Oreochromis niloticus: one gene and its partner. The protein of the gene in region 2 interacts with the protein of the main gene of each other region in a biochemical or structural test. Links are inferred from orthologs where the notes say so. Each region holds a gene or a part of one and is shown on either strand. Other genes may lie near its edges.

What was found.
Region 1: of the proteins of coil (region 2) and vrk1, one has a biochemical effect on the other in vitro, tested with the Homo sapiens proteins (2 studies listed by BioGRID and IntAct, with this or other methods). The link is inferred for Oreochromis niloticus from reciprocal best matches to the Homo sapiens genes COIL and VRK1.

Annotation. Positions count from the first base shown.
Region 1 is NC_031983.2:1,343,180-1,355,193, reverse strand, and holds the start of vrk1 (serine/threonine-protein kinase VRK1), read right to left. Parts: upstream 5,351-12,014; 5' UTR 5,201-5,350; intron 4,707-5,200; coding exon 4,547-4,706; intron 4,358-4,546; coding exon 4,302-4,357; intron 3,139-4,301; coding exon 3,069-3,138; intron 2,515-3,068; coding exon 2,427-2,514; intron 1,663-2,426; coding exon 1,554-1,662; intron 613-1,553; coding exon 520-612; intron 1-519. UniProt on the Homo sapiens protein: Serine/threonine kinase involved in the regulation of key cellular processes including the cell cycle, nuclear condensation, transcription regulation, and DNA damage response.
Region 2 is NC_031969.2:3,340,187-3,351,332, forward strand, and holds the start of coil (coilin), read right to left. Parts: upstream 5,231-11,146; 5' UTR 5,154-5,230; coding exon 4,903-5,153; intron 2,831-4,902; coding exon 1,840-2,830; intron 1,744-1,839; coding exon 1,654-1,743; intron 1-1,653. Other genes in the region: scpep1 (retinoid-inducible serine carboxypeptidase), read left to right, coding at 6,819-6,879, 7,082-7,221, 9,364-9,453, 9,598-9,753, 9,886-9,960. UniProt on the Homo sapiens protein: Component of nuclear coiled bodies, also known as Cajal bodies or CBs, which are involved in the modification and assembly of nucleoplasmic snRNPs.

The DNA of each region.
Region 1 (12,014 bases), on a different chromosome or scaffold from region 2:
ACGGGTCAGGATGAAGGAGAGCAGGAGAACACACGATTTCAATTCTAATTCCAGCTCCATAGCACTTTATTATTATTCCTCAGTTTGCATTGTGCTTATATTCTCTGTGGCTTTAATAAAGAAATGTAGAGCAATAAAAGCAAACCTACATTCACCAACTCCGAGGAAGAGCAGGAAAAACAACCAGAGCCAATATTAAAATCCTGAGGGGCTGATTTCTAAATTGTCATTTATAAAAAGCTCCTTAATAACACCACCGATGATACATTATTAATCTCCAAATTAAATATTTGCCCCTGCCCCCACCTTATTTGCAGCTCTGTGCTCCTGCCATCTAATCTCCCCCGTCTGAACACTCTCGCTTCACCTCCCCCCGTCGCAAAAGCCTAATTGAATCTAATGAAGCGGTGCGAGTGTGTTCCAACCAAAACCAGGCTCCTCCTCCTGCTGATGCACGGGTCACAGCGGCACTTTGTAAACAGTCATAGTTTCAGTCAGCACGCTACAACTCCAACTGACCTGGTTAGGATCGCTGTGACTCAACATGAGGTTAGACGCCTTCACATCAGCGTGCACGTACTCGTGCTCGTGGATGTACTCCAGAGTATCCAGCTGCACAGAAACAAATACTCCATCAAATACAGAGTACAGATACATCTGTAATGTAGCAAGACCCTAGTACAAAGTAATCACACTAGATGGTTTAAATATAATGTGCCGTTTGGCCACACAAGAAGCTGCTCAGCCCGTCATCACCTCACTGAGCAGCAGTCACGTAAAGCCAAACCTGTGATCACATTAGAAGGATTTTATTAACAGTAACTTGATTCATTACGTTCAGTTTCAGAACATAAACATTTGTCATTTTTAGAGGGGAATGTAGCCAGGCTGAGCACCAGAGAGCACAGAGGTGAGTCTGACCAGAAACAAAGTTTCACTTCCTCCACATAGATCTTAATAAACTAGAGCGAACAGGGAGACGCGCTCCTATAAAAGAAGAGGCAGCGTGGGATTTCTAACAAGAAAAAGTCATAGTAAAAGGCTATTTTACAGTCTATCCAGTGTCATTGTGACAAATCTTACTGGACTGTGTAAACAAATTACTTCATTGTTGGCATTTTCAGGCAAACAAAGGATTTTCGATCGGAAGCACAGGTGCAGGAAATCTGCTGATGACGTTCGCTTTTCCGTAAAGCGGTGTCAGATTACACACACAGTTTCAGCAGCTTACTTTAAAACTCTACCTGAGCAGAAACAATCATTCCAGGATGAACCGGAGAATGCTTCTGACCCACAATCATTAAAACAACTGAAAATACACTTTTGTTTCTTTTTGGGAAAACCCATTTCCTCCCCTGTGCATCACTAACTCTGAGGATGAAACCACTTGTTATTCAATCCTCATCATCAGTTATTTTCAGTTTGCGTACAACGTTCATCCTCAGGATGTTGGTCATTCCCCATCACACATTCTCTTTCCTGTGATCACCGTGACCTGCTGTTTACAATGTAAGTGTTTCAAACTGAAACAACTTCATCATGACATAACCAACCAGTCGAAGGCCGAGCTGCAGGACCAGCTTTCTGGGAAATCTCCTTCCACATTCCTCAAATTTCTTCTGCAGGTCTGTGCCAAGTCTGTCGATGACCATGAACCTGTAACTGGTTGGTACAGAGAGCTGTGTTAGCAGAGCGTCAGAAAGGCTGCAGCTTTACCTGTTACTGTGAGGACAACAAAGCTGTTTCACTTTACTTCTTATTTGGTGTTTTGGTTTATCTAGCTTCCATTAAGACATTAACACACAAAAAAAATTAATAAAATATTAAAAAGTTAGTTGTAAAAGGTGTAAACAGGGAGATTAGCTTAAATATCTGAGTTACATAAGTGCACAGAGGAAGTCAGGAGGTGTGATGGAAGGGCTGACGATAGCGCTAACTATGTGACCCAGGCGGGACCAAAGCTGATGCCTTATTAGGCCACGGGGGGGGGGGGGGGGGGGCTCCCTTATGAAACCAGTAATAAGTGCTACTACTGAGAACCACTACATGGTATCAGGCAGTGCCAAAGTAATCCACTGAATGAGTCAGAGTGAGGTCTGTTATAAAAGGCAGAGACCTGAGCTGGGCAGGGAAAACAGAAGCTCTAATCAGCGTAATCATGCCCACCTCTCCTTTAAAACTGCGTGTGTAGCCATGTGACTCCATCCAATGTGCAACATGCAAACATCATGGAGGAAAGGTCAAACACAGAGTTGATGCACAGCTCGAGCTGCTTGCACCAAATATAACTGCTGAGTCTGTAGTTTGAACACATTTCTCACATGTCAACAAAAGAAGAACCTGAACAACTGAATGTCACATAGATGGAGGAGAGATGGGCTGCATCATTACAAACTGAGATTTGTCCCCAGCACTCCCACCCTTACCTTTGACCCCCTCTCTCATGTCGACCTGAGCCCCAGTACCGGGGCACGCCCAGGTTTTTCAGCTTCTTGGACTTCATCCAACTCTGAACTGCAGGGCAAGAGTAAACTTATCAGACACGTACATATTTGACTAAAGTGAGCTTTTAATGTGTGCATACATGAAATCAACAACACAGGAAGTAAACTCTGAAAAGCCTGGTGCTGGTTTAAGTGGGTGATGGATGTGAGACTCAAAGTAATAAGAGTATAATTCAGTGGGGGAAAGTGGCCAATATGGCCGCGAGCTAATCTGCTGCTGGGACAAATATTTACCAACAACGTGAGACTCCAGCATGAATAAAATATGAGGCTTTGGTTCCTTAGTCATATAACAGTTAATCGTCAGGGGAGACTGACATTTGGATTGTTATTATATAAAATGCAAAGCGGTGGCCCGAGGGCCGGCGGCGCTGCCACCAAACGCTTCCTTTCCTTTGTAGGGCTCCTCTGAGCCCCGGCTACAACACCATCTTTTAATTAAGAAACTTGCCTCTCTTTTTATTTGTTTGCCCTGCTGGTGAGACTCTTGTGTTATGATCGCAGGGCTAACTTTGGTTTGCTGACAGTATGAGTGTATTTATAGTGTCTGATCATGTGACTCACTGAGATCCGGCTTGGCAGCTCTCATGTAAAATGCGAGCTCGCAGAAAAGCGGTCCATTGTCAATAGGCTCCTGTGGACAGAACAACAGGTACATTAGGTCTGCAGACCCACAACAGCACACTGGGTTGTTGTTTTCACCCTTAACAGGCAGGAAAAAAAACGAAACACAATTTTCTTCTGTTTAAACATTTAAAAAACAAACAAACAAACAAACAAACAAACAAAACTGCAAAAACTGGTTGTGTGTTTATGTGTTTGTGTGTTTAAATCCAGGTTCACAGACTGTTACATCTCTGACAGTTAGGAGCAGGGCAGCCCCACCAATCGGTCGTGCTGCAGTTTGAATAAAAATATTTAAAATATTCAATAAAAATGTTGAATAGCTTCCATCCACAGTTTGTTTCAGACAGTGACAGCACAAATAATTAGAGTTAAAGTTAGAATAAACACTGTATAGGAAGACCTTTACATTTGGCCCACAACAGCCATCACGTCACTTTTTAACAGCAACACCTGCAGCGTGCAGATGTGAGCCTGCAGTGGGCTACAGCACAGTGGATCTGACGGCGCTTTTCTGTCCGGTCTCTCCTCACATCTCGACAACGATTTGAACCAAAAAACGTAAAATTAGGATTCATCGCTCCCTCAAATGTTGCCACTGATTTTCAGTTCAGATGTTGGGTAATGTGGCATCCCCACGCTTTTCCTCCCCGTTTCTCCTCCTTAAGAATAGAAACAGGGAAACAGTCACAGTGCAGAAAGTGCCTTATTGGCTGCAACGTTTGCACTGTGATCACTTCTGGTGAGACTTTAGTGACCAGCAACTGGACAGAGCCATCTGACAGGTCCAGGGTCAAGGCCTCAATATATATGCTGTGCTGGCTGCATCACTGCAGTTAGTGAACAAATAAATAAATCAGACAATTCTCAGAGAGTCAAATGGGAGAGACTTTGAGCCTGATGAGTCTGCACATTCGAGCAGAAAAGCAAGTCAAACAAGTCCTGTCAGTATGTGAATTATTTCTGGACTTAATCCAATGAACTTATGTTGCCAATTAAGTCTTAACTTTTGATGGGCTTAACTAAGGTGGAAGTGTTATAGAATAAAAATTGATATGTCATAAAATACAAAGTACTTCAGGTTGAGTTGGCTTTTGTAGCTACTTTTCTGTGAATAAAGAAAAAAGTATGTAAAGAGTAATAATGCCTGGACTGGAACAAACTTAGTCCTACCACTTTGATGACATAGCGAGCATCAGCACCCACAGGCTTTGCAGAATTTTCCTCCGCTGGGGAAAACATAAGAGGGAATATGTTCATTATTTACAGTATTTGGTTGACACATGCTTAAAATCTTTATTAACTTCTATTAAATATAAAGTTTGCAACTCAAACTCAGATGTTAACTAGAACTAAAATACAAATAACATTGTCTTTTATTTTACCATGACTGTGTCACTAGCATCCTGTGTTCTTACCCAAGTATATGACACCAAAGCCCCCTTGACCGATCGGAGCCCCCAGCTTCCATTCCTTCTTCATGGTGTCCTTCAGCACTTCTCCAGGAGGAAACTCCTCTGCCAGTTTCCTCTTGGCAGGGGCTCTGCCTCTGCCTGCCGCCTTGGCTTTAGGGGGCATCTAACACACACACAGCCACGGTGGTTGTTAGTGCTGCTTCATCGTGATGGAAGCAGAACTCCAAAATAAAACTAAGCTAAACATCGTTGTAAACACAACAAGAAATGGAAAATTGTACTTTTTGGGTCACATTAGAACTATGTTTTTATCTGTACCGAAGTTAGCTAACCACATCCCGAGTTCCCCATCACCTGCTAATGTGTGCAGCCTATACGAGACACTTCCCTAACACGAACCGCCTGTTAGCATGTGGGTTAAAACCAACAGAAAGAGAAACAGTAAAGTGATGGCGTCGTGCGAATCCTGCACCTTTAGCGGTTCTTTCGAGGCTCGTTAGCTCTCATGCTAACTGCGTGGTTTTGTGAGTAACCGTGTGTCACATTAGCGCCTACATGATCTGCTACATGACGCCGTCCAACAGCAAACGCTGTACCCGAGTACCTGTGATTGGTTCCGTTAGTATACAGATATATACATCTATGACAAAAACATACCGTCACTTCGTTGTTTATGCTTCCCTGTAGCAGAAACTGTGCATGGACCAAACTTCCCGCAAAACTACCGGTCAGGAAGTTACGTCACCGTACCGCGCTATTTTATAGAGATTGACAGACCACGTGACTTTCGCGCATTGCATGTTGGGTACCCGTGGCAACAAAATCAAAACACTGCATCAAGCGGTAGCATTTCCAGCACCGGTAATCATTAATTCTGCGGTTTTAATCCCTACTAGCATTTTATTTGCCCCAAAAACAGTTATGTACAAAACGAGGGAGAACACGGCAGGTCCGTACAAAGACAGACTTGACGAAAAGACAACAACAAAAAAAAGGACGAGGAAAAAATCAAAGGAGTGAAAGGGTCAGACCCGTACCAGCATACAGAGCGGAGTAAGGACGTCAGCGTGCTGCCCAACTTTCATCACGCACATATTTATTATTATATGGTCCTAAGTGTGAGTGCAGACACTCACATGATGTTTAGTAACTCAGATCCCTGCAACAAGCCCAGGTCCAGTTTACTTTGGTGATTTGGACTATTCCATTTCACAGCTGTTGTTACATTCTTTTCCTTTATCTCCTGTACAGGCAAACGCATCTATTTGTTGTTTCAGGTTGTAGTATTACACAACATTTTCAGATCTAATAGAAATAACATGAGTGTTTCGTAATTCATTCAATTTATTGTCTTTATTTCTAACTGGCATTATTGTTTCATTCTATTATAGAATCTTACAAGAAGGAGGCAAAATTGTAAAAATCCATCATGCTTTATTAGCTGTTTCGGTGAAAAACAACAATGCAAAACAACATACTGGAAAACAGTTATTCATCACTTGATTGCTTCAATACAACCCTTGGGCACATATATGCGGGACGTTTCGTGGCTGTTTTGATATCGCTCTCTCTCTTAACCGATCAAATCTGGCTGTGGTAGCAGCTTTAAACTCGGTCTGACCCAGGGTGATAGAGGGTGCAAAACACATGAAAACACATTTTCAATGAGATTGAAAATGTGACGTCAGTGAAAACACATGAAAACACATTTTCAATGAGATTGAAAATGTGACGTCAGTGAAAACACATGAAAACACATTTTCAATGAGATTGAAAATGTGACGTCATTCCGGGGTGAAACCGCAAAGGATTCTGGGAATGCTAGGCAAGCGGTACTAGCGCACGCAGGCTTTCACATGAAAACAGTCACAAAACACAAAAAATGGCAAGAAGCTGTTGTATTATTAACTGCAATAGCCGGTCGCATGACAGCCATGGGAAGCCAACGGGTAAAGAGATTGTTTTTTATCGGATTACGTCGTGGAAGAGAAATTGTTCAAGCCATGTTTCCGAAGTAACAAAGAGTAACAAAGAGCCGACGGATGACCTGGAGCGGGGGAAGTCGCTGCTTCACTACTGTGTGAACAGCGATGTAGGCCACATACGGCCCACGTTGAACTGTCCTTTTTGTTTATTGTAAAGAAGTTTAAATACACATTTAATCCCTGCGATATCTTAATATATGAAAGATATAATATAAAAATATTTTAAACATGTCTTAATATAAGAAAAAGTTTTCAACAGCAAGTCTATGTTCTGCATTTCTGCTGCAGTACATGAAAGAAATCTGCCAACATGACTCCTGTGGGTTCAGTTCTAATAAATAAATATGATCCGATAGCTCAGACTGTCCTGTAAATATAAAGCAGAAAGTTTTTGTTAATTTACAGAAAATGCCTTTTTTTTTAAAATGTGGAACCATCATCCATTCATCCATTATCTTCTGCTTATCCTCGATTGGGCAGGTCTTCAGTACATGATCAACTATCAGAGCTGTGTTATTAATTTCTTATTGTTTTATTATCAAACCATGGACTAATATGTCTTATTGTGCCATTTAGTTAAGTCTGAAGGCTTTTGGAAAAAAACACACATTCTGTAAATTTATTTAATTTTGTAAAGTATAGACTTTTACCTTGATGTTGAGGTGTTGTCATCATTTTTATACATAGCACCGCATTTTCAGATCCTCAAAAGTATTTGGAAAAAACAACAACAGTTCAATGTTAGGGCTTGTGTGTAATACTTTGCAGTCAATAACTCCCTAAGGTGTAGAACCATGAGTTTTGTGATTGCTTAAGTCAGTAAAAGGTCATGCAAAATCACTTTTTGTCTTTATAATAATGAAAACATCTTCACCACACCCAGTTTATAGGCACTGCAGATATATTAGAGTAAAACACAGGCCGTGCAGTTCATAGTTCAGATTGTATATATTTACACCTAAGTGATTAAATATATATGCTTTTGTCTCCATGCACCATAATGTTGTGTCCCACACATCCAGCTACACCAGTACTGCTTCATCATAGCAAGGCATCTGGGAGAAACAGAAGGGAAAAAGTCATATTTCCTTGGTTAAGAAGAGCATTCATTGATTTCATTACTGACACTGTATCGCCCAATCAAAAGTCTTAATACCTCTCCCCTACTTTCATTATGTGCCTGTATAGCAGACTTTACTGTGGAAGAAGTGGATGATAAAGATGAACAAACAAAAATGAAAAGGTGGCACTAAAAAGCTAAGAGAGAAGACAAAACTACAAAAAGATGCAGCAAAATGTGTCTAATTAAGTGACTTGTTATCTGTCGTGGCTGCTGCATCGTCAACAGTAGTAACAGCAACAACTAGTAACAAGTGCTCACAGGCTGAAGAAGCTACTGCTGCTAGTGCTGCTAGTTCCCTGTGTGGAGAAGTGCAGCAGTCCTAACTGCTATGGGCTTGAAGTTGGCCTCAAGTGTTGTCACATCCCCATTGAGTTCCTGATGAAGGCATTCCAGGATCCAGGTGTGAGGAGTCATAGGCCTTCTTGTAATCAATCCAGGCAGAGCACAGGTTGGTCAGCCTAGTCTTGCAGCCTCGTCTGACTGTTCTTTCTACTAGTCAAATCAAATCAAATCACTTTTATTGTCACGTCACATGTGCAGGTACACTGGTACAGTACATGCGAGTGAAATTCTTGTGTGCGAGCTTCACAAGCAACAGAGTTGTGCAAAAATACAATAACATAAGAACAAGCAAAATATAAGAATGGCTAAATCTGAGAGTAATAAATATATGTACAATATAAGAGTATATCCATTACTGGATGTGTATACTAAATATGTTTTTCTACATGTGTGTGTGTGTGTGTGTGTGTGTATACATATTTTACAAATTAAATAGATTAAACAATAAAATAAAATATATAAAATATACAGAGGTTGGTAGTTGAGACATGTACAAAACAAGTGGCATTTATATACAGTATGGAGTGCATAATGTTGTTGAATGTGGGTGAGGTGTCTATGACGTGTTCAGCAGTCTGATGGCCTGGTGGAAAAAGCTGTCTCTCAGTCTGCTGGTACGGGACCGGATGCTGCAGAACCTCCTTCCTGATGGAAGTAGTCTGAACAGTTTATGGCTGGGGTGACTGGAGTCCTTGATGATCCTCCCCGCTTTCCTCAGGCACCGCTTCCTGTAGATGTCTTGGAGGGAGGGAAGCTCACCTCCAATTATCCGTTCAGCACACCGCACTACTCTCTGGAGAGCTTTGCGGTTGTAGGCGGTGCTGTTGCCGTACCAGGTGGTGATGCATCCAGTGAGGATGCTCTCAATGGCACAGCGATAGAAGGTCCTGAGGATGCGGGGGCTCATGCCGAATCTTTTCAGTCTCCTGAGAAAGAAGAGGCGCTGCTGCGCCTTCTTCACTGTTTTGTTTGTGTGTACCGACCACGTAAGATCCTCAGCCAGATGTACACCAAGGAAGCGGAAGCTGCTCACTCTCTCCACAGCAGCGCCGTTGATGGTGATGGGGGTGTGTACTTCTCTGCACCTCCGGAAGTCCACTATCAACTCCTTTGTCTTTGCGACGTTGAGGGTGAGATGGTTGTCTTGACACCAGTGGGTCAGGGCGCTGACCTCCTCCCTGTAGGCCGTCTCATCACCGTTGGTGATAAGACCCACCACTGTAGTGTCGTCCGCAAACTTCACAATGATGTTGGAGTTTCTAGTGGCCGTGCAGTCGTAGGTGTAGAGTGAGTACAGGAGAGGGCTCAGTACACACCCCTGTGGAGCACCAGTGTTCAGTGTGATGGGGGATGAGGTGATGCTGCCCAGTCTGACTACTTGGCATCTGTCAGTCAGGAAGTTAAGGATCCAGCTGCAGAGGGAGCTGCTCAGTCCTAGATCCTGCAGTTTCCTGTCCAGCTTCGAGGGAACGATGGTGTTGAATGCTGAGCTGTAATCTACAAACAGCATTCTCACATACGTGTCTCTCTTCTCCAGGTGTGACAGGGCAGCATGGAGTGTCAGGGCTATGGCATCATCAGTGGACCTGTTGTGGTGGTATGCGAATTGTAGAGGGTCCAGTGAGTTGGGTAGTGAAGAGCAAACAAAATCCCTGATCAGCTTCTCGAAGCATTTGCTCACGATGGGGGTCAGGGCTACAAGTCGCCAGTCGTTCAATGATGAGATGGTGGAGGATTTGGGTACAGGGACGATGGTGGCCATTTAGAAGCAGGCTGGGACTACAGACAGAGAGAGGGAAAGGTTGAAGATGTGTGTAAACACTCCAGCCAGCTGAGCCGCGCATGACTTGAGGACGCGGCCGGGGATCCCATCCGGACCAGTAGCTTTGCGTGCGTTCACCTTCCTGAAGCACTTCCGCACATCCTCCTCAGACACAGTGTGTGCACTGACGTCATCCGCGGTGCGCACACTGTCCGGTCTCATGGTGTTCGCTGTGTTGAATCTAGTGTAGAATACGTTTAGATCCTCACACAGAGAGGCCGTGGTCTGCGGTGTGCTGGTTTTCCCTCTAAAGTCTGCGATTGTGTTTAGTCCCTGCCACATACTCCGAGGGTTGAATTGAATTGAATTGATTGATTGAATTGATATACCTTTATTAGTCCCACAAGGGGGAAATTTCATAAGGCTGCCGACCTATTGCACGCAATGGCGGCGCCATCTTACCCTCCGACCATACATACATTACACAAAACATCACATGGGGAAGACAGGTCAGAGAGGTATACATGGAAAAGCACAACATGAGGAAAGATAAGGAGAAAAAAATAACTCCCCCCAGACTGAGCTCCAACAGGGAGATCAGTTTGAGAACAGAAAAAAACACCTCTGCACATGAAAAAACTCTTAATACACCAAAGAAACACATGACAAGCAACAGGGGTGGGTAAAGGGTGAGAGACAGCCAATGTAGACAGTACATCCGGGCCTGCAGCCTATGCGCTGGTCTCCATGATCCACCGTCAGCATCGGAAGGGAATAAGCGTCGAAGGCGTTTGGAAAGGGAGGGGGGATGAGTGTGTGCATATCAGTGTATATGTATGTGTGTGCGTGTCCAGAGTTCAGCTGAGACAGTGTCCTTCGCCCTGCCAGGCTAAGTAAACAGTCTTCCAGCCAACCCAGGTGGCCTTGCATAGGATAGGAAGGAACAGACTAAACATAGTCTGTAATCAGGGTGTTGTTGTACAGCTCCAGCCTTGCAACCGCAGCTGGCGCTGAGAAGGTATCCGCATGAAGTGAAGGTGCTTTTTACTTTAGTGCGAACAACTCATATGAATTTCAAAGCAGTTCTACAGTCCAACACTGGTCTCTCAATCTCCCGTTGGAGAGCCGCGAGCTTCGCCATACTTGCGTTCTGTGAGGTTGTCATTCTTGTGCTCAAGGAGCCGATTCTGAAAAACTCACGACAGTGTGCCTCCCCGAGATGTCATCCAATTTACGCTCAGAGATGTTATGCCGAGCGAGCCCTTCCGAGATGTAATCCAGTCTGCACTCAGAGATCTTATTCTGAGTATTCACAGCAGCCGTAGCCTTTCCAAGATCTTATCCGTGCTGCACTCAATGAGCCCATTTTGAGAAACTCACGCCTCGTCCCATCATTTCAATCCCAGCGGGCAGCCTTGTGGGGGTTTGAACAGCCGGTTCCGCTTCCTTAATTCTTCGATAAGCCAGGGCCAAGCCAGCTCCGATCAGCAAGAACCCTGTTATCATGGTTCCGAATAGGTAGAAATCTTCAGCAGTCAGGCTCACCCAAGCCCAAACTTCTCGTTAAGAAAGGGGTGTCAATTGCATTCAGAGACCAGTTGATCAAATCCATAATTCCTCTTTTAGGTTTTAGAAAACAGACTGTGAGAGATTGTTCCAGGGAAAAGTCATACAAAAAACACAAGACTAGACAAGGACATAAGAGGCTAAGCAGGGAAGCTAAGGGAGAGGAGGAGGAGGAGAGGAGAAAAATGCGACCGCCTTCGTCAAGAGCGGTCGCATTTGTCAAACTGTTGCTCCACCCTGTCCCTGTACTCATGTTTGGCTGCTTTGATCGTCTTCCGGAGTTGGTAATGTGCGTGTTTGTAGTCCGATGTGTTCGCGGAGGCAAAGGCGGAGCTCCGTGCTGCCAGTGCCGTGCGAACATCTCTGTTAATCCAGGGTTTTTGATTTGGGAAGGATTTAACTGTTCTGGATGGGACGACATCTTCCACGCATTTTCTGATAAATCCGCAGACTGAGTCCGTGTACTCATCAATGTCATTAGCAGCCACGTGAAACATTTCCCAGTCCGCGTGATCAAAACAGTCCCGCAGCGTAGACTCCGATTGGTCCAACCAACGGTGCACCGCCCTCAGTAGCTGGTGTTTTGCGCCTCTGGTATTCTTGCCCATCCCTTTCTGTGCCCCATTCATGTATTGAGCCATGTGCCTGTTCATCTTAGCCGCTATGATGCCTGACAGGAGCTTCCATGTGATG
Region 2 (11,146 bases):
ACACATAGAATTAAGAAGTGAATGCAATTCACTTCATTTTTATTTATATAGCTTCAAATCACAACAGCAGTCGCTTTAAGGGGGCTTTATGCTGTAAGGCAGAGGAAACAAGAGTACTCTGAGAGCACAACTCCCCTCGAAGGGCGAGGGCTGTAATACAACTGTGTTGCTTTATGATGTTTTTATTACAATGCATCGGAGAGCAACTTAGTATCTTCCCCAAGGAAATTTGACATGAAGCAGCCAGCCATGTATTTATTTTATTTTATTACAATATGCCCTGATAATTATAATATTACCCAGCTTTTATAAGAACACACTGATGTCTGACCTTTGACCTTTAAGCATTACACACTAAAATGATGTATTTTATTATCTTTACCAATAAAATTGAAGCAGAAATGGCCGAAATCTTTGGTTTCAATAAGCTGTAAAAATGTGAGTGTGGCAGGGTGTGGTTTGTGGTTCAGCCGCAGGGGACGGGTGGAGCAGCGGGTTCAGGGTGCAGTGTCAGTGGAGTCTGACACACACCTGAGCTCCATCATCTAGCCATGGCTCCCGGATAAAAGACATGTTGGGACCTGAGGTGGGAGGTGTGTGTGCTACAAGCAACTGCAGGCAATTATGGGCAAAATAACCACTGGTGATGCAAAGTGGACAGGATAAACAATCCTCTGTTTCCAGGTGAACAATTAAAGGACTACCTATGAAAAAACGCTGGTGATTGAGATATGAGCTACTTAAATATATTAGTGGGTTACCTAGGCAACTGAAATACTCAAAGGTGACCTGCAATCAGCTTCAAAGATATGGGCAACACAGTAATTGCTTCCAGCAGTTTTAAACAACATAAAAAGCTGCTAATAATGGGTTCACAAAAATCTTTGTAAGACATGGTTCCTAATTCTTAGTGACTACTACCCATAGTGGTTAGCTTTTGAACCACTGTAGCTAACGAGCTAGCCTCTAGCTAGGCAGGGCAAACTACTGCTATTCAGTCACAGCAGCTTTTTTGACTTCTCTCTAAAAAGTTGCAGGGGAGAAAAAAAACCCCCAGAGGCTCACTAACACTGTATTTGCTTAGAGAACTGTGGATTTAAACATTACATAAAATACTGTACTGTAAGATAAACTCATGGCTTATATGTCTGTGAAGCATTTTCATTTTTCACATAAGTTTACACCTGAACATAAAATCTTTGATAACTGTTCCCCCGCCCCAAAGTTAAGCTAATTTTGTGTGTTCTACAGTATATTAGCTACAACAGTGTACTACAGCTGATAAGGATGTTGAAAAAACATGGTGCAGAAAGCTGCATCTGATCAGAAGGAAAAGCCACGCAAACTTGGAAGAGTTGACCTGATTTGTACAAACTGAAATGGCTTGCAGCGGACAGATGCAAGGTCATCGATGGCTACACCCTCATGCAATAAAGAGGGAGTATGTTGTATTGTAAGACGGCTGATCAGCCTGTTTCACTAACTCATCTACAGAAGGCAAAAAATTATCCCCCCAAAAATTATGAGATTATTTTCAAAATCATCAATAGTAATTTTTTCTTAGTGTAGCCCTAAAACTCCTTTAGAACAACACTATGAGGGCTAATAGCTTTCATTTTTAACCTGGAGACGACTGCAGCTTACAACACCCACCTTAAAGGCAATCCTCTGCCCCACCTGTGGAGGAGCAGCTAACAGGGGCATGGAGTTGTAGTCCTGCTTGGGTACACTTACTGCTTCATTCTATAAATGGAGACAGAAAGTCAAGAATGGCTTTTAATTCATTTTAATTAAGAGCAGATATTACATTTACATCTTAGGCTTCAGATGCAGACAAACCTGGAGGATCACTGAGGTGTTGGTCAGTGAATCATTCTGGTAAGACGGCTCTGTGGCTCCATTATAGCTGGACCCAGAGCTGCTACTGTTCCCTCTGCTTGCTCCTCCTCTACCTCCACCCCTAACACTTGCTCCCTGACCACCGCCACATCTGGCTTTCCCTCTGCAGCCACCTCGCCAAGGAAACTGAATACCTATGCCACCTCTGGGCTGCTGCAGTGGCCTCCGTATCACCAGCTGGATCTCGTCTTCACTGTCCGAGTTGGCACCCTTTGCTGCTGTATGAGACGACTCCGCTATGCTGGCGGTTTGTTCCGGATTATCGTTTGTAGGCTGCGGAGCTGAAGGAGACCGACTTGATTCTGAGTTGGCAGCCGTGGATTTTAAAGGTTTGTTTCTGGGCTGGATTTTGACACTGGCAGCCTCATCAGAAGAAGACTCTGTTTCTGAAGAGGATGACGATGACAGTGGAGGTTTTTTGGGGGCAGGTTTTGTGTTTGATGGGACCTTGGAGGGAGCAGGAGTGGAGGTGGGTGCTTTTGTTGTTTTTTTGGGTACGACATCTTCATCACTGCTGCTACAACTGGAATCTGAAGAGGAGGCTTTTTGTGGTTTTGGTTTTGATGCTTGGAGCTTCTTGGTGCTTTTACTCGGCTGGCTGACGGTAGCAGTAACCTTTTTTCGAAAATCAGCTGGTTTGGGAGAAGCAAGAGCACCTTTTTCCTTTGGCTTCTTTTTCTTCTTCTCTTTCTTCTCTGTGGGTTTTCCTTGTACATTCTTATTCTGGTCATCACTTGCCACTAGGTTGGCACCGTCTGTCATTCTGTCCTCGTTATTTTTCTTCCTCTTTTTCTTCTTCCATTCGACACTCACTCCATTTTCTTCTGGCACAGTGTCTTCTGTGGCTCGCCGTCTCTTTCTGCCGCTTTCACTTGCTGCATCTGGATGACTGCTGTATCCATTCAACTCATTCATCCAGCTCACCTTCACCCTAACACAAAAACAGAACATATCTTAAAGGAAGAGTTGAACATTATACGAATGGATTTATTATGCCAAATTTACTCCACACAAAAAAAGGTCAATTTCTTGTAGACTGGGAGATGCTGCTGAAAGCTCTGGGTTAGTTCTTGATGAAGTTGGCAGTGCACTCAAATGACCCTCAGACTCAAGATCTCAGTCCAATAAGTCACCTTTAAAGGTGACTTATTGGACTGAGACGTGTGGTAGTGTGGGAAATCTGCAGGAACTGCATGATGCTTTCTAGTACCATGTTAAATCTATGGAACAAAGAATTCAGGCACCTCTCAAGGCAAATATATACTGTGGGAGTATATATTAATTTGAGAGAGCCTGACTCAGTATCTCTGTATGTTAACTGTGCCCATTTCTCACTGGGTACTCCAGCCTCCTCCCACACTGATTCTAAATTGGTTGTAGGTGTGAATGTCCGTGTGAATGCGTGTCTGTCTCACCGTGTTAGCCCCGCAACACACTGGCAAACTATCCAGGGTGTACCCTGCTTCTCACAGACGGACAGATGACACAAATGACATCAAACCTGTTTACTTACCTAGTTATCCAACCCTTACAGGAAGTTGGAACCTTAAGTTGAGACACACTCTTGATGACACAGGGCTAACACTGAGAAACAGCAGGCAACCACAAAAGCACATTTAAACCTACACATGATTTAGAATCAGCAGTTCGCCCAACATGCAGATCTCTGGGTTGTGAGAGGAAACCCACACAGATCTGAACCCCAGAACTGTCTCACTGTCAGACGACAGTGCAGAATACTGAAAAACTGACTGTTGTAAAGCATACAGCATTGTATGTTGTAGCTTTTGAACTAACAAAATGAATATGTGTGAATTTAAATATTGTGTTCCTTATGTTAAGACTTAAACTTAACAAACTTTAGGTGTGTTGGTCATTTGAAGTATCTTACATAGGTGCATACTTCAAATTAGGCGCAAATTAGTACAGACTCAAGACTCTGGGGTGCCAAGAGAATAAGTGGTGCCACAAAGTTCGAAAAATGAAGTCTTCGTGAAGTTTCAAATCCACACTTCACTCAATTGCCCTGTGCCAAATACGCGTATCTCATTTTCGCAAACAAAGCCTAAGAATAGATAACACTGAAAGGATGTTTTGGTTAAATTTTATTAACGTTCTTGTTTCTCTTATATACGGAGCCCCTCTGATGACATGGTCCAAAAAATAAATAAATTGTGGCCACAAAACACTACTTCGTGGGCACGAAATGGGTATAACGTGTGCACGAAATGCTAATTTGTGGGCACGAAACACTTGACCGATAACCGTGATCCTTCCCAGGCCCTTGCAGTTGGTTGACAATAAAATCTATCCCGGTGTCCAGGTCGTACTTACGTCTGTAAAGCAACTGGGCTCTCAATATACTGTTTAAATGTCTCTCCGTAATAATGGTTCCTTGCATTGCCAGGCTTTTCAAAATGCATTTGTAGCTCATTCCCAGCCTAAAACAAAACTCAATCATACTGTCTCTGTCCATGGTGTATAGGTTTAGCCTACTCTTATGCTTATGTCTCTACGCAGCTGTCCAGGAGTTGTATCAATATGATGTGCGCACGTTATCTATTTCGTTGCCACAAATGCGTAATTCGTTGCCATGTTATACCCAATTTGTGCCCACAAATGAGCATTTCGTGCGCACGTTATACCTATTTCGTGCCCTCGAAATAGTATTTCGTGGCCACAAATAAGTATTTCGTGGGCACGTTATACTATTTCGAGGGCACGAAGTAGTATTTTGTGGCCACAATTTATTTATTTTTTGGACCATGTCATCAGAGGGGCTCCGTACTTATATGACGACAAAGGGTCTAAAAAATTATGATATACCGCGCCATGATCCAGTTTTTTGTTCATACCACCCAGAGGAAGGCTTCGGGAATACCAAGCAGCGTCCACATGGTACTGAGCTGAGTGTTTAGAGACATGCTGTAACTAAATAACTCGTATTACATATGCCAGGATCTGTCAGCGCTTTGAAAGTTACAACTAACAAAACACGCGCACCTGACGCTGTCGTTGTCTCGCACCACGTAGATGCTCTCCGTGTGCGGCAGGTAGCAGTCTTCTATGAACAGGCTGAGGATGCTCCCGCCGCTGAATTCAAACTTCTCCCTGATGACGCTCTCCAGGTCGGCCACCACGCGACACACGTTTAGGTCTACGAGCAGCCAGCACATGCGGCAACCGACGACAGCCGGCGGCGGGTAGTCAAAGTACAGGCGCAGTCGGATAAAGTTATTACTGTGGGCAGCCATGACGGCTACAGTACCAAAACACCGGCTGTCGTACTCCCTCTGCAAGCTCAAAGACGACACTTCCGCCCAGGCTCTTCAAAATAAGAGTTCAAACCCAAACGTATTTCCTTTCCCTATTCAAAGAAAAGAGTATTATAGTAATAATAACTTTTTAATGACAACTATACCCATATCATATTAACTTATCATAATAAAGAAAATAAAGACATTCTTTAAACTTTTTTTTTTTTTTACAACAGGTGAATATTTGTTTAATTAAACATTGATTACAGCTTAGCATGACAATTCGGCTTTCCATACTGAATACACTAAATAAAATGCTAATTTACCGAGTGTATATTTTACTATTATTTTATTGTATTTTATTTCAACTGCTGTGAAATTATTTCCTGCTGTAAAATTATTTCCTAAATATGGGAGAAATAAAGTATTTATTATTTCCTTATTTTAGGTCGATTTTTTGAGAAAAGAAACGTATTCGTATGACTTTTATTTAAATTATCAGTTTTCAACGGAAGTGAGGCGCACGTGTTTGGCGCTGTCAAGACCCTCGTTTGCAATATTGACCTCTGCTGGCGTGGAGGAAGGACTGAATTATTACAGAGCTCCATCGCAGCCAAATGATCGACAAATATTCACCAGAGGCTCTTGTCGTTAATTGAAACTAAACTCAAACGTAACTAAAAAATGACTTGAATAAAAGCTTATCTTCATTCTTCTTGGGATTTTTTTTTTGTTAAAGTCCTTAAAACTGACTTTATGACTCATTCAAGCATTAAAAAGGCACTTAACTAACGGGTTGAACCACTGGTCTGTCTACACATAATAGACAACTTATATCAGCATGGTTATCAGATTTTCCTTAAAAAACGAAAAAGAAAAAAATTAGGACCAAAGAAGAAGTGGCAAGCCTAGAACACTGTCTACATCAGATGACCAGTTTCTGGAATCCATGTCTGCTAGAAATAGGAAAAATCCAGCGAGACCTGGAAAAATAAAAAATAGACATATTAAGACCTTGATCCATCTATTCTTGCCAAACTCTTGTCGGAAATGGTCTGAATGAAAAGGTCGCTGTAAGCCATTCCTAAGGAAGGGTACAGGATGGAAAGGCTGCAGTATGTCACAGTACACAAAAACTGGATTGAAAATGAGGGGAAACAAGTCAAATCTAAAATGGTTCAAACCATTATCAGCGTGTATGTCTCTGTAGGACACAGAGTAGGAGAGTCACTTTTATCCCTACAGCAGTTCTGCACCTGAACTCTGAGCCTTTCCTACCTCTGTATTAAATAGCCTCCTTGCCGTTTCTTTTATAACTGAAGTGCTCACTTTGTCTGAACTGTGTGCATTTGTATTGATGCTTTATGTCAGTGTTCTGCCTGTTTTAATTGTTAATTGCCCCTTGGGGATAAATATGTTTCTGGGATTTGAAATGAATGTTAGATCAAACTCATCGTCTTTTCTTCTTTTCTTTTGATGTTCATTGAGGTTTTTCAGAGCCCTTAAGTCACTTTACTCTTTCCAGTGCTCTGAGGTTATTCTAACTTTACTTTGTGACGCAATATTAAAAAAAAGTGTCGGTCAGCTGACCACGGGTTTGGTCATGTGACTTCTCGTTGCAGTTGAAATTATGCGGACCCTTTGCAGCTAGACACTTTAACGATGGGTTCCTTCCGAGTAGACTTTACTTTGTGTTTCTTACTCAGCGTTGTGCTGTCCAAAGGTAAGATATCCGCACTGTGGACGAGGCTCTTACAGACTTCTTCTCGGTTTTCCTACCTCTCGCTTTGACTTCAAAACGAAAGTAACGTTTTGATCGCTCATTACAGACTGGTTTATTGTTTCTAGTAGAATGACGATGTAACACTGTCACACTGTAACCGAACACCAAGTTAACAAAGTGGATGTGATTGAATTCTGCGCAGGGCTCCCCTCTGCTCTGGCGAGCAAAGAAGCCTGGAACTATGTGGAGGTGAGAGACGGGGCCCACATGTTCTGGTGGCTCTATTATGCTGACAGTGTACAAGCCCAGTACAAGGACCTGCCTCTGGTCATGTGGCTGCAGGTAGGACGTCATGATTTTTGTTTTCCACCTTAACTGGGCTTCCAGTGATGTCAGCATTTTAATCAAACTCCAGATTCGTCCCATTTACGAATATTTTACGCGTGTTTAGTTGTTTAGTATCAGTCCGATTACGTTTAGACCAAATAAATTGTCAGTGAGATTTTCTTTTTACACAAATAAATTAATTGCCTAAATAGGAATTTAAACTGTGAATTACTAACTTTGCCTGCAACTTCCCCCGAATTGTCAACCACGACCTTATGCTGACAGCTTAAAAAGTTGTTTTTCATTTAGGCAGTAGGCTGTCTACAGTCTGTACCTATAATACCTGTTGAACACGGTCTGTAGGGTCTTATATATTTTTGTAGTTCATTCAAGTTAAAGCATGCAGAAGTTTTTTGTACTGGACACAGAGAGTGATCCATCCCCAGACACTCAAGCTTTCAACTATTAGTTGGAGTAAGACTGGAAAGTGGGGGTCAGTCTTCTCTGTATGTTTCTGAGGGGGAACAAAAGTCCACAAAACTAATAATGCTTCAAGTATTTATGTCTTATTTAGTGATTCTCATCCCATATCAAATGTCTGTCTTGCCCATTGTATTAAATACTGATTGAATAGTTAGGGCTGTGACAAATCGAGCACATGCATGGTTGCATTCTCAAAGCGGAACCGGCTGTTCAAACCTCCACAAGGCTGCCCGCTGGGATTGAAGCGATGGGACGAGGCGTGAGTTTCTCAAAATGGGCTCATTGAGTGCAGCACAGATAAGATCTTGGAAAGGCTACGGCTGCTGTGAATACTCAGAATAAGATCTCTGAGTGCAGACTGGATTACATCTCGGAAGGGCTCGCTCGGCATAACATCTCTGAGCGTAAATTGGATGACATCTCGGGGAGGCACACTGTCGTGAGTTTTTCAGAATCGGCTCCTTGAGCACAAGAATGACAACATCACAGAACGCGAAGCTCGCGGCTCTCCATCGGGAGATTGAGAGACCAGTGTTGGACTGTAGAACTGCTTTGAAATTCATATAAGCTGTTTGCACTAAAGTAAAAAGCACCTTCACTTCATGCGGATACCTTCTCGGCGCCAGCTGCGGTTGCAAGGCTGGAGCTGTACAACAACACCCTGATTACAGACTGTGTTTAGTCTGTTCCTTCCTATTCTATGCAAGGCCACCTGGGTTGGCTGGAAGACTGTTTACTTAGCCTGGCAGGGCGAAGGACACTGTCTCAGCTGAACTCTGGACACGCACACACATACATATACACTGATATGCACACACTCATCCCCCCTCCCTTTCCAAACGCCTTCGACGCTTATTCCCTTCCGATGCTGACGGTGGATCATGGAGACCAGCGCATAGGCTGCAGGCCCGGATGTACTGTCTAAATCGGCTGTCTCTCACCCTTTACCCGCCCCTGTTGCTTGTCATGTGTTTCTTTGGTGTATTAAGAGTTTTTTCATGTGCTATGTGCAGAGGTGTTTTTTTCTGTTCCCAAACTGATCTCCCTGTTGGAGCTCAGTCTGGGGGGAGTTATTTTTTTCTCCTTATCTTTCCTCATGTTGTGCTTTTCCATGTTATACCTCTCTGACCTGTCTTCCCCATGTGATGTTTTGTGTAATGTATGTATGGTCGGAGGGTAAGATGGCGCCGCCATTGCGTGCAATAGGTTGGCAGCCTTATGAAATTTCCCCCTTGTGGGACTAATAAAGGTATATCAATCAATCAATCAATCAATCAATCAAACATGTGCAGCATCATGCTACCATTCCATCTTCCTGTACAGTGATGTCTGCAGGAAGTTGTGATGTTCACAGATTGTGTCCCCGTCTGATCAAATGATCAGGCCTTTGGTTAAAAATGGAATGGTGCTTAGACTGTAGGAGAGGTGGTAAGAGTGAGTAATGGCAGTGTTGTTTTTACTTCTAACTACAAAAGAGGAACAACTCTGGTCTAATTTTAAACTTTCTACCTTGTGACATTGTATTGCATTATTTTTCTGATCCCACCCCCTGCCACCAAAAACAAACAAACAGTAATAGAGACGTGTACTTTAATGGCTCATTTAATACGAATGTGGCTTGTGCCGAGCTAAATGGCAAATATAACAATGTTTACCTGTGTGTGTGTGTTTTAGGGTGGCCCAGGAGGATCTGGAACTGGCTTTGGCAACTTTGAGGAAATTGGACCCTTGAACAGAGATCTAGAGCCCAGAAAAACAAGCTGGGTAAAGATTTATTGTAACTGAAGAGTTCTTCAAAGAAAGTATAAATGAATAAAAATGCAGATTAGCATGCTGACATGTAGTGTGTGTGTGTGTGTGTGTGTGTGTGTGTGTGTGTGTGTGTGTGTGTGTGTGTGTCACCTTTAGGTCCAGGCAGCCAATTTGTTATTTGTAGATAACCCTGTGGGCACTGGCTTTAGCTACACAGACAGGCCAGGTGCCTATGCTACCAATGTGTCCACCGTGGCCTCAGACATGCTGGTGCTGCTCAAACACTTTTTCTCAGAAAAGCCTGAGTTCCAGGTATGTCCATTATTGCATTTTTTTGCCTGTTTGTCAGAAAGATGGGCTCATCAAACGTTGTCTAAACACTGAAGTGACTCCAAAACACATTAATATTAAAGGACCTAAAGTGTACTGTTCTGTTCTTTTCAGAGCATCGCCTTCTACATTTTCTCTGAGTCATATGGAGGGAAGATGGCAGCTGCTATCTCCTTAGAGCTCACCAAGGTGAGGAGACTTATTTTTGGATGTTTCTGTTGTTCTTGGCACAGCATTCAGTTCAATGTGAGCTCACTGCTATTGAAAAGTCCCAGTGCTAAAGATGTCATGTGATAGAAAAGGGAAGTAGAGACAACGTGACATTTAAAGGAAAAAAAACAAAACTGTCTGACAGCTTGTAAAGCCTTCTCTTCCAGAGAATTAAGCAATAACTTTTATTGTAGTTTGTTTTTATTTTTTAGCTGGTCACATTTTTTATTTTATTTTTGGAGAGAGAGAGATTTAGAGCTGTTAATGATTTATCTTCTGTTTAAAGCACATTGATTGAGTTAAGTAACATGAAATGTGCTTTATAAATATAGCTGACTTTAGCAATGTTAAATTGATGGGTATGCTGTATGAAATCAGATTATGATGCCCATTTATACCACCAGTCAAAAGTTTGGACACCTTCTCATTTAATGGTTTTTCTTTATTTTCATGACTGTTTACATTGTAGATTCTCACTGAAGGCATCAAAACTATGAATGAACACATATGGAATTATGTAGTAAACAACTTAAAGCATGTTTTATATTTTAGATCCTTCCAAATAGCCAACCTTTGCTTTGATTACTGCTTTGCACACTCTTGGCATTCTCTAGATGAGCTTCATGAGGTAGTCGCCTGAAATGGTTTTCCACTAGTCTTGAAGGAGTTCCCAGAGATGCTGAGCACTTCTTGGTCCTTTTGGCTTCACTCTGCGATCCATCTCATCCCAAACCATCTTGACTGGGTTTAGGTCAGGTGACTGTGGAGGCCAGGCCATCACTCTCCTTCTTGGTCAAATAGCCCTTACACAGCCTGGAGGTTGGTTTGGGGTCATTGTTGAAAAATAAATGATGGTCCAATGAAACACAAACTGGATGAGATGGCATGTTGCTGCAGGATGCTGTGGTAGCCATGCTGGATCCCCATCAGAGTCAACAGCAAAGCACTCACACACCATCACACCTCCTCCTCCGTGCTTCACAGTGGGAACCATGCATTCCCACTGTGAATGCATCCATTCACCTGTGTCGCACAAAGACACGGCGGGTGGAACCAAAGATCTCTAATTTGGACTCATCAGACCAAAGCACAGATTTCCACTGGTCTAATGTCCATTCCTTGTGTTTCTTGGCCCAAACTAATCTCTTCTGCTTGTTGCTTTTTC